Linked DNA regions of Mus musculus. The protein of the gene in region 1 interacts with the protein of each later gene in a biochemical or structural test. Links are inferred from orthologs where the notes say so. Each region holds a gene or a part of one and is shown on either strand. Other genes may lie near its edges.

The links. The genes of interacting proteins can lie anywhere in the genome.
Region 2: the proteins of Gsk3b (region 1) and Ywhaz form a complex in vitro, tested with the Homo sapiens proteins (2 studies listed by BioGRID). The link is inferred for Mus musculus from reciprocal best matches to the Homo sapiens genes GSK3B and YWHAZ.
Region 3: of the proteins of Gsk3b (region 1) and Snai1, one has a biochemical effect on the other in vitro, tested with the Homo sapiens proteins (2 studies listed by BioGRID). The link is inferred for Mus musculus from reciprocal best matches to the Homo sapiens genes GSK3B and SNAI1.

What each region holds. Positions count from the first base shown.
Region 1 is NC_000082.6:38,182,667-38,187,147, reverse strand, and holds part of Gsk3b (glycogen synthase kinase-3 beta), read right to left. Parts: intron 2,714-4,481; coding exon 2,603-2,713; intron 1-2,602. UniProt on the Homo sapiens protein: Constitutively active protein kinase that acts as a negative regulator in the hormonal control of glucose homeostasis, Wnt signaling and regulation of transcription factors and microtubules, by phosphorylating and inactivating glycogen synthase (GYS1 or GYS2), EIF2B, CTNNB1/beta-catenin, APC, AXIN1, DPYSL2/CRMP2, JUN, NFATC1/NFATC, MAPT/TAU and MACF1.
Region 2 is NC_000081.6:36,790,993-36,796,157, forward strand, and holds the start of Ywhaz (14-3-3 protein zeta/delta), read right to left. Parts: upstream 3,547-5,165; 5' UTR 3,153-3,546; exon of another isoform or gene 2,928-3,152; intron 2,687-2,927; exon of another isoform or gene 2,684-2,686; 5' UTR 2,487-2,683; intron 1-2,486.
Region 3 is NC_000068.7:167,536,528-167,541,740, reverse strand, and holds the start of Snai1 (zinc finger protein SNAI1), read right to left. Parts: upstream 3,547-5,213; 5' UTR 3,452-3,546; coding exon 3,370-3,451; intron 3,071-3,369; coding exon 2,543-3,070; intron 1-2,542. UniProt on the Homo sapiens protein: Involved in induction of the epithelial to mesenchymal transition (EMT), formation and maintenance of embryonic mesoderm, growth arrest, survival and cell migration.

The DNA.
Region 1 (4,481 bases):
AATAGCCTTTAAGATCCTCAGAATAATGTAGACTTCCAATGTAATTTAAAAACAGATGCCTAGATGGATCTCTGAGTTTAAGGCCCATTTAGTCTACAAAGTGAGTTATAGGAGAGCCAGGGTTACACAGGAAAAAAATCCTGTCTCAAAACCACAAACAAACAAACAAACAGATGCCTAGCTAACTTGGCAATATTGTGGTAGTAAATCTTAACTGCCAGCTTGACAGTACCTAGAATAACCAAGAAAACAAATTCTGGGCATGTCTGTAAGGGCATCTGCATTATTTGATGGGCTAGGTACCTGACTGAGTAAGAAGAAAAGCAGCTCATGTACTGTGTCCTCTCTGAACGTGGCCAGAGGCCCCATGCTCGCCCACCAGGCCTGCCCTACCATGATGCACAGCATCCCCTAGAACTATTAAGCCATCCTTGAGCTGGCTTTGTCTGGAATTTCTTCAAAGCAAGCAGAGAAATAATACCTTAAAAGATTGTTTTAAAGCTTTGAAACAGGAACCAAGAACCTTCAATCTTCCTTCCTTCCTTCCTTCCTTCCTTCCTTCCTTCCTTCCTTCCTTCCTTCTTTACTTATTTTTACTCTCTCAGGACAGACTCCTAATCGAATACAGCCTGACCCTGATCCTGTCATCCTCTAAAGTGCTGAGATTATAGACATGTGACACCTTCTCCACCTGATTCACCTTCAATTTGTTCTACGTGCTTACTTTCTGAGCTCTATTCCCTAGTTAATACGGTGGAAATAAAAAACCCTCTTGTCTAATTAGGAAAAACAGAAGAAGTACTGACAAAGACACCATCTTTTCAGACTGTATTGCTTAGGACTGACACTACTGAAATTAACATGAAAGCTACTTTCCTTCAGAGGTGTGAGAAAAGTGCTAAGACTAGACAGGTTTAATGTTAATTTAAATCAAGCTACACAAGTTAAAGCCTTCAAAATGAACCATGACAAAAATGTATACATAACATCTTTATGTCAGCATTTTGGAATTAAATTAAATTCAACTCTCTATGCACTTATACCTTGTCCTTTTAACATTTTTCTCAATTAAAAATAAACTTCTAAGAAAGAATGGCAGCTCTGTATCATTACTTTCCACAGCTGTCTGCTCTACTACCTGACGCTAGAACTTGCTAGAAAACCCATAAAGGACAAAAGGAGGGACTAAATCTTGTTCTGGGAAAAGTCTGGACCCATTCAGGACCCCACATGAATAATAATCTTCCTCTCTCCATGGCCCTAAGATGATTTACTCAGGATCCCCAGAGAGTTTGGAAGCCCACATTCCTGTCAGTATGCTCCCTCCCCCTGCTGTAAATGACTTTGAGTTGGAAGTGGCAGCATTGTGACCTCTCCAAGTCAGCTCCATGTCAGCTGCGGGGTAAATATGGAATTAGACTGCTGTCATTGAGAAACAGAAAAACAAACCTAACTCCTAGTTTAACAGCACAGATATTAAATATATGTTTCTAACTAGATTTGGTAATTCACACTTATAATCTCAGCACTCAGGAAGCTGAAGCAGGAGACCTGCTACAAGTATCAAAAGTTCCAGGGTGGTCTGAACTACAGGGTAAGACCCTATCCATCCCTCCCCTATCTCACCTCTAAAAAGAAAAATATATGCTTCCAATCATCTACCACAACTGTAACTAGGACTATACTATATAAATCCCTAGCTACACTGCTGTAGTTACATTTAAAAAAAAGAGGGAATTAATATTCGATACCAAAAACTAAATAATATAATCTGTTTAAAACTGACAGTTTAAATCTCTACGATGAATGCAACAAATATATCTACAAATGGTAATAAAGCATTACAAATGAATATGAAATGAACTCTACATTTATTTAGTGGTTTGTTTTGGTATGTGGCACAATGAAGACATCGAAAATGAAAACAAAGCTATGGGGTTGGGAGATGTCTCACTGGTAAGAGTATTTGCTGTACAAACACCAAAACCCCACCCTGAATCTCCAGCACCATGAACAAAGTTGAGAGTAGGTACACTTGGCTGCCAGCCCAGCCCTGGGTAGGAAGAGCGACTGAGACAAGCCCCAACTAAAAGCTTATATAGGGGTCAGGAAGAGACCAGTTCAAAGGAAAGGTGAAAAAAAAGCACAGTGTCTGCCTCCGGCCTTCACCTGAGCTTCACCTCCCCACAGCACACACACAAGGGCTAACACAATTCAAATCCTTAAGTGAACTTTACTCTATTTTATCAGAAGATTTATCTCAATTCAATTATCACATGAGCATGTGTGTGCAGGGGCACGAGCCACACACGTGGACGGTTAAGGACAACTTCAGGCAGCTGCTTCTCTTCTACCTGAGTAGGTTCCAGGAACAGAACCCGGTTATCAGCCTTGCACAGCAAGTACCTTTTTCCGCTGCAGAGTAATGAAAGCCTTAAGAGGACTCCATGCTATAAAACTGTGTAAGAATTCAACACAATCTAAAGCTTGCTGTTTTTACAAGGAGTAACCAGTGTCAATGGGGTTGACACATCCCAACCTTACCCATGGCTCACACAAAATGTTCTGGAAACTAGAAGGGGTTCGTTCCGTCGTCACGTACCTTGACATAGATCACAGGGAGTGTCTGCTTGGCTCGACTATAGTGTCTGGCGACTCTGTACACTGTCTCCGGAACATAGTCCAGCACCAGGTTAAGGTAGACCTCATCTTTCTGTAAGGTTTTTAAGAACAAAAGAACAAAAACAGATTAGAGACTGATCTTAGGTATTCAAGTGAGAGCAAATTTTCTATACACCTCTTATTCAGATGTTTAAAGAAAAGCTTCATATGGTTAATTTTAATTACACAAAATTACTTTTGAACATGAATAGAGCTGAACAAATGCACCTACCATACTTTATAATCCCAGTATAGTTAAGAGTCCCATCATGTTGCTTATACTGTGTTATGATAGCTTATCATTTATTATAATGTTTATTATTTTTTAGGTTAAAAAAACATCAATGTCTTTTCTCCTATGTGGAAAAATTGCTTGAAGATGCATTGAGTCAAAAGCCAAGAAACCAGGTTGCTAGCCCAGGCTCTGCTGCCAAGTGATGTGTATGACTGATGATATGTCCCGGCTTCAGTTTCTTCAGCTCATAAGAAAGGATGAACTAAGCATTCTTTGAAACACTATAGCCTCCATACAAATGTTTTGTTTTTCTGAAAGGCTACAGATCACTAATATAACAAACTTATGGCAATGAGGTCATACCCAAAAGCTTGTCAATTAGTCTCCAGTGTAGCATCATAAAGACAAGAGTTCAAGGTCAAGAGAAGGAAAGGAGGTACAGGAAAGAGAAGAAATCACTAGCCACACCCTGTTCTCTGAACAGCACCAGTTGGGTAAACTGAGGGAGAACAATGAGGTTAAGGATTACTATTGGTTACTGAGTGGTGAAACTGTTCACAATTCCACCTTATCAAACTGGAGTCTGAGTCAGTGTTTTGGGTGCATCTCCTATGGATCAGAGATGCTACAGGAGGGAGGGGTAGGTGAAGGTACAAAGTTACCCATGTGGAACTCTCTGCTCTACTCTCCCACTCTGTGACTAAAAACAAGTATATGTTTCTTATCTTTTAAATGAAGACTGAAACAACAGAGAGAAAACCCTATATTTAAGATATGGGTTCAGAGCATTCCACAGAGCCAAAAATATCTTTTTTGATGGTCTTTCTTCTTCCATAGTCAACTGGAATACTAAGTCTGCCACTCTCATCAGCACAGGGGAAACAAACGATGCTAATTATCTTTATAAACACAGCTATACTCCACCAAGTAAACACTGCCTATTGCTGTTTGGGGGCTAAAATGACAAGAATCAAGTAGTTGTGGCAGGGACTGGGTAGATTTCAAAATAGCTTGCAAAACTGAAAGTATCAAAGGAAAAAAAAATATGTGTGTGTTTTTTGTAACTCTGGATATATTAGCTTTCTGCACAGCCTGAACTCAAAGCAGCATGGCTACAAAATTGTGTTGACTGGTCTCATATTAAAATCATCATCAATAAATTAAGTTGGAGTTGAGAGACAGATTCTATCTTGGTTTAAATATCTGAAGTCCCTGCTAAGAATCTTGGGTTGGAGCAGTGAGGTACATGCCTCAAGCCCAGAGCTCGGGCTCATGAAGCAGAGGCAGGAGGATCTCTGTGAGTTCCAGGCCAGCCAGTCTAGTCTACAGAGTGAGTTCCAGAACAGCACAGTGTTGGGTGAGACTGGAGAGATGGCTCAGTGGTTAAAAGCACTATCTGCTCTTCTAGAGAACCCGAGTTCAATTCCAGAACTCACACAGCAGCTCACATACTCTAATACAACAGTGGACAGGCAAAGGTTAGCATCCCTTATGCAAAGGGAAAAATAGTAGAAAACGAAAATCAAACAAGATGAGATTAAATCTTAGCTCTTGGATGATCATATGCACTTCTCCCACCAAATGT
Region 2 (5,165 bases), on another chromosome or scaffold:
AAAGGGAAGAAGAAAAACATTCAGAAAACGCCTGTGAAAAATACATACTCATACCTGTCATAAGTAAATAAATAAATAAGGCACACCAGTACCTCAAACCAGCTTGAGCAATTAAAAGGCAGCCCCCAACCCCAACCAACCAGAAAACTAGCCTAGTCTGCATATTAACAGTAGGTTGTGAAATTAACTGCGCGTTCCACCTGTTCAGAAGATTCCAATTTCAAGTAAGATCAAAGCATATATGGACACCAGTTCCTTAAAAAAAAAAAACCCAAAACAAACAAACAAAACAAAAAAAAACCCACCTTTAAGCTGCAGGGCAGGGGGTACAAAACCAGAGACCCACCTCTACTCTCCTTGGCCAAAGATCCCTAGATCCCAACGACACTAAATGATGTACACCTGAGCAACTTTCCCTCTAGTGTGCATGCAGGAATGCGCATTGGGGGTGCGGGTCAGTTTAGGGACCGGGACCTACAATGCCTATAAGCATACTTCCAGAATCGTGAGTCATGTCAGTGTAATTATATTCTAGCTTTTTAATGTATATACTCTTATCAAAGAGCCACTAAGTTTTATTTTATTTAGCACCCTCCCACCCTGATCTACTACACTTGTAACATTTGCCAGCTGATCATGGTATAAAATTATCTGAAGAAAACTGCCTAATTGCTGCTTAAACTATCTTAAACACAATACCACCAGGAATCACTAAGCCCAAGACCAATCTGTGTCTAAACAGCGTCCTATGAACTCTCGCCTAGCACACAGGCACACTCACTTCCTACTCTGAGTGAGCACTAGGGCGTCCACAGCACATGGAGGGAGCCAAGCGCTTCCGATGTCTGCTGCCTGCTGCAGTCTGGAGTCACGGCAGGATTTCTAGCAGTCACAACTCCTCAAGCTGGTCTTCCTCATATTTCCCCAGTTTTCTTTCGCTCAATTTTAAAGTTCCCTAGATTCCAATTTACTTCTCATTTCTTCAACAATTCCAAGAGCAAAATTCTAAATCATATAGTGATCCCACAAAATACACTTTAATGAAAAGTCACAACCTGAATGCACTAAGTGTAGGAATAAAGAGTCACTGCCGCCCACCATGGAAATTCTTTCCTTTACCTTTCCAGAAAGGACCTCTTTTTGGTAGCCAAATGAGCAGTGTCCAGAACAGAAACACGGATAGGGCTAGCTTAAATTCGAGACACAGTACCTTCCGTGCATTAACTATTTAAAATTTGTGAACCCATACTTCCCCCGGGGTCTCGAAATCTAACATTAGAAACGGTCACTGGTAAATGTTGCTTCCAAAAATGATGTAAGCCTAAGTCAGTACAAACGTTCCCCCGCCAACCTCCCGGATAAGGGGAAGTGGATTAGGTTTCTCACAGGAAAACGAGCGCTCCTGGGCCTCGCCTTCAGACTGCGGGAATACTCGCCGCACCCACTTAACCCTTGGCTGCCTGAGGCCGGAGGGTGGGGCGAACCGAAACCGCGCAGCGGTGACTTTAAAGCGCTAGTCCTTGCGTCCGCGCCATCCGCAGCCACCTCCCCTCCTTGGCTCCGCCCAGGCTGGTGCCTCCGCGCTAGTCCCCGACTCTCTTTGTCATGGCGGAACTGTGTCAAGGAGCCCAACCTACTCCGACTGTGAATCGCCCCCCCACCCGGGCAGAGGGAGGAGCAGTCCGTGCACCCGCCCCAGTCGGAGGGTGGTGGTGGAGGGGGAGCAGATCACCCTCCCCGGGGGCCCGATGCCATCCGCGCCCGCAGAAGCGGAACCGCGGCCGGCCCGCGCCGGACACACCCCGCTCCCGCCCAGGGTCCCCTCCGCCGGTGTCCGACCCAAGCCCCGATGTCCCGACAGCTGCGGTAGGGGGAGGGGCAGGGCCCCACCCAGACAGGCGCAGCCCCCATCCTGGGGCCGCAGCTCCTGGAAAGATGCGAACCTCCCACCAGCCCAGGACGCTGGGGACCCCGTGCCCCGGTACCCCCACGCCTAGCTCTGGCCGCGCCCCTCCCCCACCGCGCGTCCCGAGAGTCCTTTCTGGCATTGCGGGCCCCAGCGAGCCCAGCCCAGGGTCCCTGGCGGGCCCCACCCCAGAGCCCCGCGTGCTACCTGGCTGCCCCCCGCCGTGGGGGAGGGGGTGGCGGGGGCGCCCCGGGTGGGGGCGGCCTCACCTGCGCCACGGCCGAGTCACAGTCGCGGGCGGAAGCAGGGTGCCGGCGGGGGCGGATCGCGGTCGCCCTCGGGAGCGGGAGCCCCTGGGTCTCGCGCGTGGGCGCCTCATCCGCCACCCCCACCCCGGGGACCAGAACGGGGCGATGAGCAGCCCGGCAGGCCAGAAGCAAGCGGCCGGGGGCGGCGGTGGGCGCCTGCCCGGGCCCGGCAGAGCCGAGCCGCCGCCCGGGTCCTCCTGAGAAGACCCCTCTCGGGCCGCAGCGCGGCGGCGGGCTGAAGGGACCGGAGGCCGACTCGGGCGGCTCCTCACCTGTGTCCGGAGTGGGTGGCGGCACACGGACGCGGCTCGGCGGTCTCTGGGCGGCGGCGGCAGCAGCGGTGGCGGCGAGGCTGAGACTCTGTCCCTGATCTGGCTGCTCACAGGCTACAGCCGCTCCGCAGACACGGGGTTTCCTCCAATCACTAGCCCCGGCAGCAGGGGCACCACACGCACGATGACGTCAAACGCTGCTATGGCAACCGTTGATTGGTGCCCACAGTTCTCCGGCCCGGCGCAACCGCCGCTCCCCTGCGCGCGCCCGGCCGGCCCGCCCGTGCCCGAGGGCGAGCGGAGGAGAGCGCGTACTCGCGCTCCGCTCCGCTCCCGACCCTGCCTTCACCCGCGTGCTCGGTTCGCTCCCCGCCGCCCCCGCGAGCTGCCCTCCCTCCCCGCCCCTGCGGCCCGCGGAAGGAAGCCTCTCCCCGCCCCCACCTCACTGGCGGGCACATCCGGGACCTTCGCGTTCCCCCCCACCCCCTTCCCGCTCGGCCGCCCTCTCTCTGCGCCGGTAATGGCGGTGGGCGGGTTGCGGGGCAGGGTGAAGGCAGCTCTACTGCCAGGGCATTGTGATCAGAAGCCGAGAGTAGGGCAGCGGCTCCGCCAACGCCGGGGCAGGGAGGCCCGGGCGCGGCTGCTCCCTCGGGCGGCCCGCTTTACCTTCTGGCTGCAGGAAGCGGCCTTAGACCTTTTAAGGCTGGGAAAAGCGCGAGGCTGAATGACGCCCTGCCTTTCCAGTCGCGAGCTCGGCGTCCACACCGTGACAGCCGCGGGGACAATGGGTGGTCGCTGGGAGGAGCGGGGAAAGGGTTGGGCTAGCGGGTTGGACGTGATCGTAGAAGCCTGACGTGGGGCGAGGCGGGGAAACAGGCTAGAACACACCGAACTGTTGTCGTGGGCTGCACTTTACCCTCTGTAGAGCTTTCATTGGGAGACACATTGTTCCTAATTAGCGCATTGTAAGAGAGTGACCGACCCTTTTAGGTCCTGGAAGCAAGGTTAGGGAGCGTGGCCGTTCCTAGGGCTCTAGCTGGAGGAGGAGCGAGGCTCCTCCGCCCGGAAAGGGGGGGGGGGGAGGAAAAGGGCGGAAATTGCAGGTGCCTGAACCCGCAAGGTCTCCACCCAGGAGACGGAAGTTGAAAGGAGATGCAGTCTCTATGAAGAATCTGTCCTTGCTCTCTTTAAATGTGCGCCTCTGAGCTAAAATATTTTCACTGAGCCCCTTCTGGGGCCTACACTAAGCACAACTGGAAAAAGAACCTCAGGAATTCAGCCCCAGAGCCCCCTGGAAGACTTCATGACAAGCATTCTTTCCCTACCACTGTCTTTCATCAGAATGTTGGTTACATTGTTTGAATCACAAGTTTGTTGTACAAATTATAATTTGCCTGAAATGACAGCTAGGTAGAGATTTGCCTGTGACCAGTTCAGTGTCGCTCCCCTCGCCAACCGCCCTCCCCCCTCCCAACACACACACCGGTTTCCACAGCAACAGATAACATGCTAAGCAGATGAGCAAATTAATTCAGGTTTTATCTCCAAGATACTGAAGTCAACTTACTTTGGCTGTAATGTAAATTCTTTCAGGGAGTGACTCACTTAAAATGACTATTTCAAAAGCTTTTATGTTTGCAGTTTTGTAGTAGGTGCTAGAAATTTGACAGAAGATACTAGGTTAAATCTTTTGTAAAATGGAAATGTCTGTTAATGTCTGTAATACACGTCTATATGGAATATACACCTCAGGGAAAGTTAAGAGATTTCTCTGCATAAATTGCAGACTTGTTTTGGAAAATAGTTTGGGCTTTTGCCTTGTGCATTAACTAGCAAGGTTTCTTTGTGTTTTAATAAACCAAAAGGTGCTTTTAGTTTTTACAAACTCCAATCAACATGTTTGCCTAATAAAGGCATAATAAGGCTGCAAGGGGGCCAGAATTAGATTTGCCATGGAAGGTCAACTGAGAAGAATTCTAAAGAATAATATGTAGCAAAGCCAAAACCCAGAGCCTATAGGCCTGAAGTATGGGGAAGTTACTGGTGAGTTTGATTAGCTGCCCAATTGTCTTCCTGTCTTCTTTACTTGGGTCTTACTTCATGCAGTTGATGTCTCCGCTATACTTTGATAGGCACAGTAGTAAAATATCAGCAATAAAAGTACTACCATCTGTGGCTGAGGAATGCATGTGTGTTTTCTCCATGTAGTTTACTGTAATTACATTTTGGGAACAATAAGGGTGGTAGCTGTCCCTGGTGTTCAAAACCCAGTGAAAACGAAGTGAAACAGTTAAAAGTGGTAGGTCTAAAGTTCAGAGATGAACGTGTTAGCCCAACACTAGACATTTCATTCAATTTCTGTCCCATGTTACACAGTAAGGTAAAGAGTTCAAGTAAATTAGCATCAGTCTGTCATTCCAACTGGAAACACGTGTCAAGGGTGATCTTTTCAGTCATAAACAGTCCCGGCAGGCTATCGTCTCAGCTCTGCATCATTTGACTGAGTGAAGCTTAATGTGCGGGACTCTGCAATCAGAAGAGGGGCAATCTTGCTTTGTCATCCAGAGGTCTGTTCTTTAGCTTACTAAACTGGACACACTAATTCCCAGTCCCATAAGATTAAACACCGTGATTGAGAGAGTAAAGAGTGGGCTGTATTGTGCTGTAGATTCTAATTTC
Region 3 (5,213 bases), on another chromosome or scaffold:
GAAACAAAGTCCTTCCCACCTGGCAGGCACTGAACACTTCTGATTGACCTGTCATCTGTCCCTTCTGCAGTCCTATTAGAGGTGGGGAAACTGAGGCACAGAGGTACGCAGCAGGCTCTAGGTCACCCACCATACCTCCATAGCCCGGGTTGTAGTCACTGCCTCAGGCAGGGGAGCTGCGACTGGACTTCCTATTACCAGCCTTGAATTTACTTTGATTTACTTTGTCTGGGACAAAGCTTGAGAGGCAGCCTGGAGAGGCCTCCCCACCCCCACCCAGAGCCAGCAAGGCCATTCCTCTGCATGCTGCCAGCAGCCCACCGCTCTGCAGTAAGGAAGCTCTCCTTAACTAACTGCAAGCCCAGGGGCTTACAGACATCTGGGATCCTGACCGGATCCGTGCCCAGCCAGGGCTATAAGGACACACGGGGGCTCTGTGTCCAGTAAGTGCTTAATTACATGCTGTGTAGCTGAAGACTTCTGTGGGTTTGTGCCCCCGAGGATGGCTGAAAGCGGCTCTGTTCAGTGAATACCTGAATTAATAAATGTGCTTTTTAAAAAAGGGGACCTGAGCCTGGGGGTCCATATTTGTAACCCAGCATTGTAGAGACAGAGGGAGGAGGGTCTCTGGTTTAAACCCAGTCTGGCTGAGTTAACAAATACCGACAAAACCAAACATCTGCTGCACCCCTACTATGTGCCAAGCATGAGGCTGTAATGCCAAACGGATTTTCAAAACAAGGCAAGCCTCCCGTCCCTCCCAGCCTGCTAGTCCACAGGCGGTGCCCTTTGGTTGGATTCTAGTGATGGAATTCGGGGCTGAGGAATGGCGCCTGGGTGTGCTGAGCCTCTGGATAGAGGAAATCTCAGCAGGGATCCTGCGGGATCCACCCACTCAGCAGGTATTCACTGAACAGAGCCGCTTTCAGCCCCCCTAGGGGGCACAAACCCACACAAGTCTTCAGCTACACAGGTGGGGCTCCAAAGCCCTGGGTGGTGGTGGACCTTGGCAATCTGTGGGTCCCTACAAGTAAGGGGTGTTGCCCCCTCCCTAGAATGGCCTAACCACTACCTGTCCGTTTAGCAGGGACAGGCGAACTGAAGTACTTAACAAAAGGGAGGTTTCAAGATAACACAGGGTGGGATGGAGCTGGGAGTCTCTGGGCTTGCACAGGAAGTGTAGACACCCCCCCCCCCACACACACACACACTCTCTCTCTCTTCACAGATCCCCGACCCCCAGACGCCTTCATAGTGTTCCTGGCAAGTGTGAAATCGGCACCAGGCCGGCTGGGACAAAGGCCACTAAGGGGGACACTGTACATGTGATACCCCCTGGATTAAAGGGGCCTGCCGTGCAATGAGCCAGCAGCTGCGGCCAAGAACAGGTGCTGGGCACCGCTGCCCCGTGCACCTGCTCTAACCCTGCAGGCCCCCACCCCCTGGGCTACCATTAAGACACACAATGGAACTCCTAGAGAACTGGGTGGTGCATTTCAAGGAGGGTTTTGTCTGAGCCATGCCTTTACATCAAAACAAAGTCCCTGGGGGGTGGGGGGTGGTCGGAGGCAGCCTAGGACCCTGAGGGCTTCAGCTCTTCCCCAAAGTAGAGCCCCACAGCTTAGCAACCCAGCCGGAGAGAGGCAGCCTGTTACACTTTTATAGGTTAAATCTGAGGCAATCCGTGCCTGGGGGGGGGAAACGGGTAATCTTATTCAAGTAATAAAGGTGTCAGTGAGACCTGCAAATACCTCCCTGCCACCCCCAGGCCTCACTGCCCCAATGCTGGCCACCACAAGAGACGCACAGCTCTACCCCAAAGCCTGACACACTTTCCAAAGAGCAGCCCAACCGGAACCCCCACCAAGCCTGGCTGAAGCCTTCCCTCACTTCTAGAAGCTTCCCACGTGGCCCAAGGCTGAGAGGACAGCAAAGTCATGTCTTTGTTTCTCTTCTTAAAAAAAAAAAAAAAAAAAAAAAAAAAAGATGTGTCTATTCTATTCTTGTCCTACATGGATTGGTATGTTGCCTGCATGTATGTCTGTATGAGGGTGTCAGGTCCTCTGGAACTGGACTCTTAACAGGCAGTTAGTTAAGTTGTGAACTACCATGTGTGCTGGGAATTGAACTCAGGACCTCTGGAAGAGTAGCCAGTGCTCTAACCACTGAGCCGTCTTCATAGTCACTGGGAAGTCATTTCTTAGTGGCACCTGCACCTAGCACTTCACTCTACAAAGACCCCACGAAGTGTTCTCTGATACATTTTAGAAACGAGGAAACTGGGGAAGTTCTCGACTCAGGATTCAAGGCCAGGTGCAGAATATCCTGTCTAGCAATATCCTGTCTGACTTCTACAGTGTGGGTTGAGCCCGGATAGGGAACACCTCTTCACTCCTAGCCTCGAACAGCAAGGTACAGAATGGAGAACAACCAACATCTACTTTGTCCACTGCTTGGCAGCCTTAGGAGTAAGTGTTGAGTCCCCCCAGGGTCTAAGGCCAAACAGCCCAGACTCAGAGCTCAGCTATGCACACTCACTCACCAGTGTGGGTGCGGACGTGGCCCTGAAGCAGCCAGGGCCTAGAGAAGGCCTTTCCACAGGTCGTGCAGACACAAGGCAGCGTGTGGCTTCGGATGTGCATCTTCAGAGCGCCCAGGCTGAGGTACTCCTTGTTACAATATTTGCAGTTGAAGATCTTCCGCGACTGGGGGTCCTTGGCCACCGAGAGCCTGGCCAGCTGCTTGGGAAGTTGGCCCAAGCCAGGGAAGGCGATGAAGGCCTCGGCCTCCAGGGAGGAGGCCGAGGTGGACGAGAAGGACGACGGCGCCGGCGAGGGCGGGCTGGGCGGCTGGGAGCTTTTGCCACTGTCCTCATCGGACAGCGAGGTCAGCTCTACGGCCTTGGGGCTCTCCCGCAGCGGGAGGGTGGCCCAGGCAACCGGCCGCACTTGGGGTACCAGGAGAGAGTCCCAGATGAGGGTGGGCAGCGAAGCGGCGGGGTTGAGGACCTCGGGCGGAGGGATGGCGGCCAGCAGGTGGGCCTGGTCGTAGGGCTGCTGGAAGGTGAACTCTGCGGGAAGAGAAGAGACAGCAGGGAGTCAGCTGAGCGGATTCTCGGGGCGCCAGGTGGGGGGGCTTCCCGCCCGCCCCTCCCCTCCCCCGCCCGGACTCCGCAAAGCTACCCCCGCCTTCGAGTCTTCAACTCCCGGAGCCTCCCCGTCCCGGGTCAAAGACACCCTCGGTGGATCCCAACTGCCAAGACCCGGAGCTCCAGATCCACCTGTCGCGCCCGCAGAGCCCGATTCTCACCTCCCCCCAGCACCCTTGGGATCCCCCCCAGCCGCCCGCGTCCCGCACCCCACCACGCACCCACACACGCGTCCTGCAGCTCGCTATAGTTGGGCTTCCGGCGGGGGTCGGACGGCTTCCTGACCAGGAAGGAGCGCGGCATGTTGGCCAGAGCGACCTAGGTAGTCGGGGTCACCGGGTCGCGCAAGGTCGGTAGTCAACTCCGCTCGCGAGGCCCGGCCGCACACTACGATCCCCTAGCAGCAGCAAATTCCTTTAAGTACCAGGGCTGGGGGCGTGACCGTACTGTTGGTCACGCCCCTTTGTCAAGGCTGAGCCAATGGCTGGCGGCGGCGCGGCCGGAGACTGAGACCGGAGCAGGTGCGCCTGGGCTGCTGGGGCTCCCGCCGCGTGGCGCTGAGATTCCGCTTGGGCTCCTCCCGGACCGGACCGCGCGGCTTCCGAGCTCCTCGGGCGACCCCTGGTGGCCGCGCCTGCCCCACGACGAGCGCGGTGCCCCGCAACATCCCCGAGCTGCTGACCTTTGGGCGCTGGGGAGCCAGAAAGTGCGATGATATGCACGCGCTTAGGGGTTCCTGGAACTGTCTACACAGCCCTGAACAAAACACTACCCAGGGATGCCCTACGCAAGGATGGCTTCCCGGCCGTGGGAGAGAGAGACAGACAGAATAAACAGAGGATTCGAATACTAAAGGGAGGTGTGATTTGATGAAAGGAGGTGGGGAGAGACAGCTGTGACTGTCAATGAACGGTCACCTGACAGGGGAGGGTGTCTATGACTTCCTAGAGGAAGTGAAGAAGCACCGAGGGGAAAGGCCCGGGGTAAGAATCAGTAACTTCTGCCTGTCCAACCTTTGAGAGCAGGTTCCAGGATGAGGTTGGTGTTGGGCAGACCCTGAGGGGTCCGATTTCCTGGCCTCGGGTCTTTGGAGGAGTTTGGACTTTGCCTTACAGGCACTGGGGAGTCACGGAAGGACTTTCAGCTGAGGACGGACGTGTTTAGAGTTGCATTGTGAAACACCAATAAGGGCAGGTGCGAGGCAGAGGTAGCAAGGACCAGGGCTAAGGCTCCCGACTTCCTGAAAATCGTGTTGGAACGTTCACAGGGAGGAAGGGTGGCCTCGGAAACCAAACCCACACCCCCATAGTATGGGGTTATAAACACCTATAAAGCAGAGGGTCTACGGAAACCTCTGGGGCACCAGCTAGCATCGAGTCTCTAGGCACTGGAGGTAACAACAGGGAATAGAATCAGACTCCCAGCACTGGGGGTGGGGGGTGGGGGAGTGGGAGGATGGTCAGACAACAGGCAACCATCGTGGAGAACACTGCCCTCTGGGTAGATTTAGTTCATCCATGAGTCTCCCTGAGTCCAGAGGGAGAGCACACAGCGCCCCACCACCACCCTCGTCCCAACGGACAAGTCAGCTGACTAGGTTTTGACTTTTCTCCATCCCCTATGATCAGAGAACAGGCTTTCCTACCACGGGGCCTTGCTTGGTACCTGCCTTCCTCCAGTCCTGTTTTCTCTTCCAGATCCACACCTGGCTAGGCTTCCTTTCATCCCTTTCATCCTTTGTTTCAGCAGCCCCCCACTCCACCCCCTCAGCCTCCCCCAAGCCTGCTTAGTAAGAAGGAAAGAGAAAGGCAAATGAAGCCCACAAGGGGAGGCCTGTTCACAACCTCACACCTGCCAGAGGCCTGAAAGTAAAACTTGGTCAAATGATGGATGCTGGCTGGCATGCCGCTTAGGAAAGGTGTGACTTAGCCCCTAACGGGTGACAGGTGACTCTCCACGCCCAGGAAGCTCCCTTCCTAGGCCGACTGCCACCTAGGGTTTTTCAGCCAAGCTTTTCCTCAAGAGTGTCTGAAAACACCTAAGCCCGCCCTGCCCTCACTGGCAG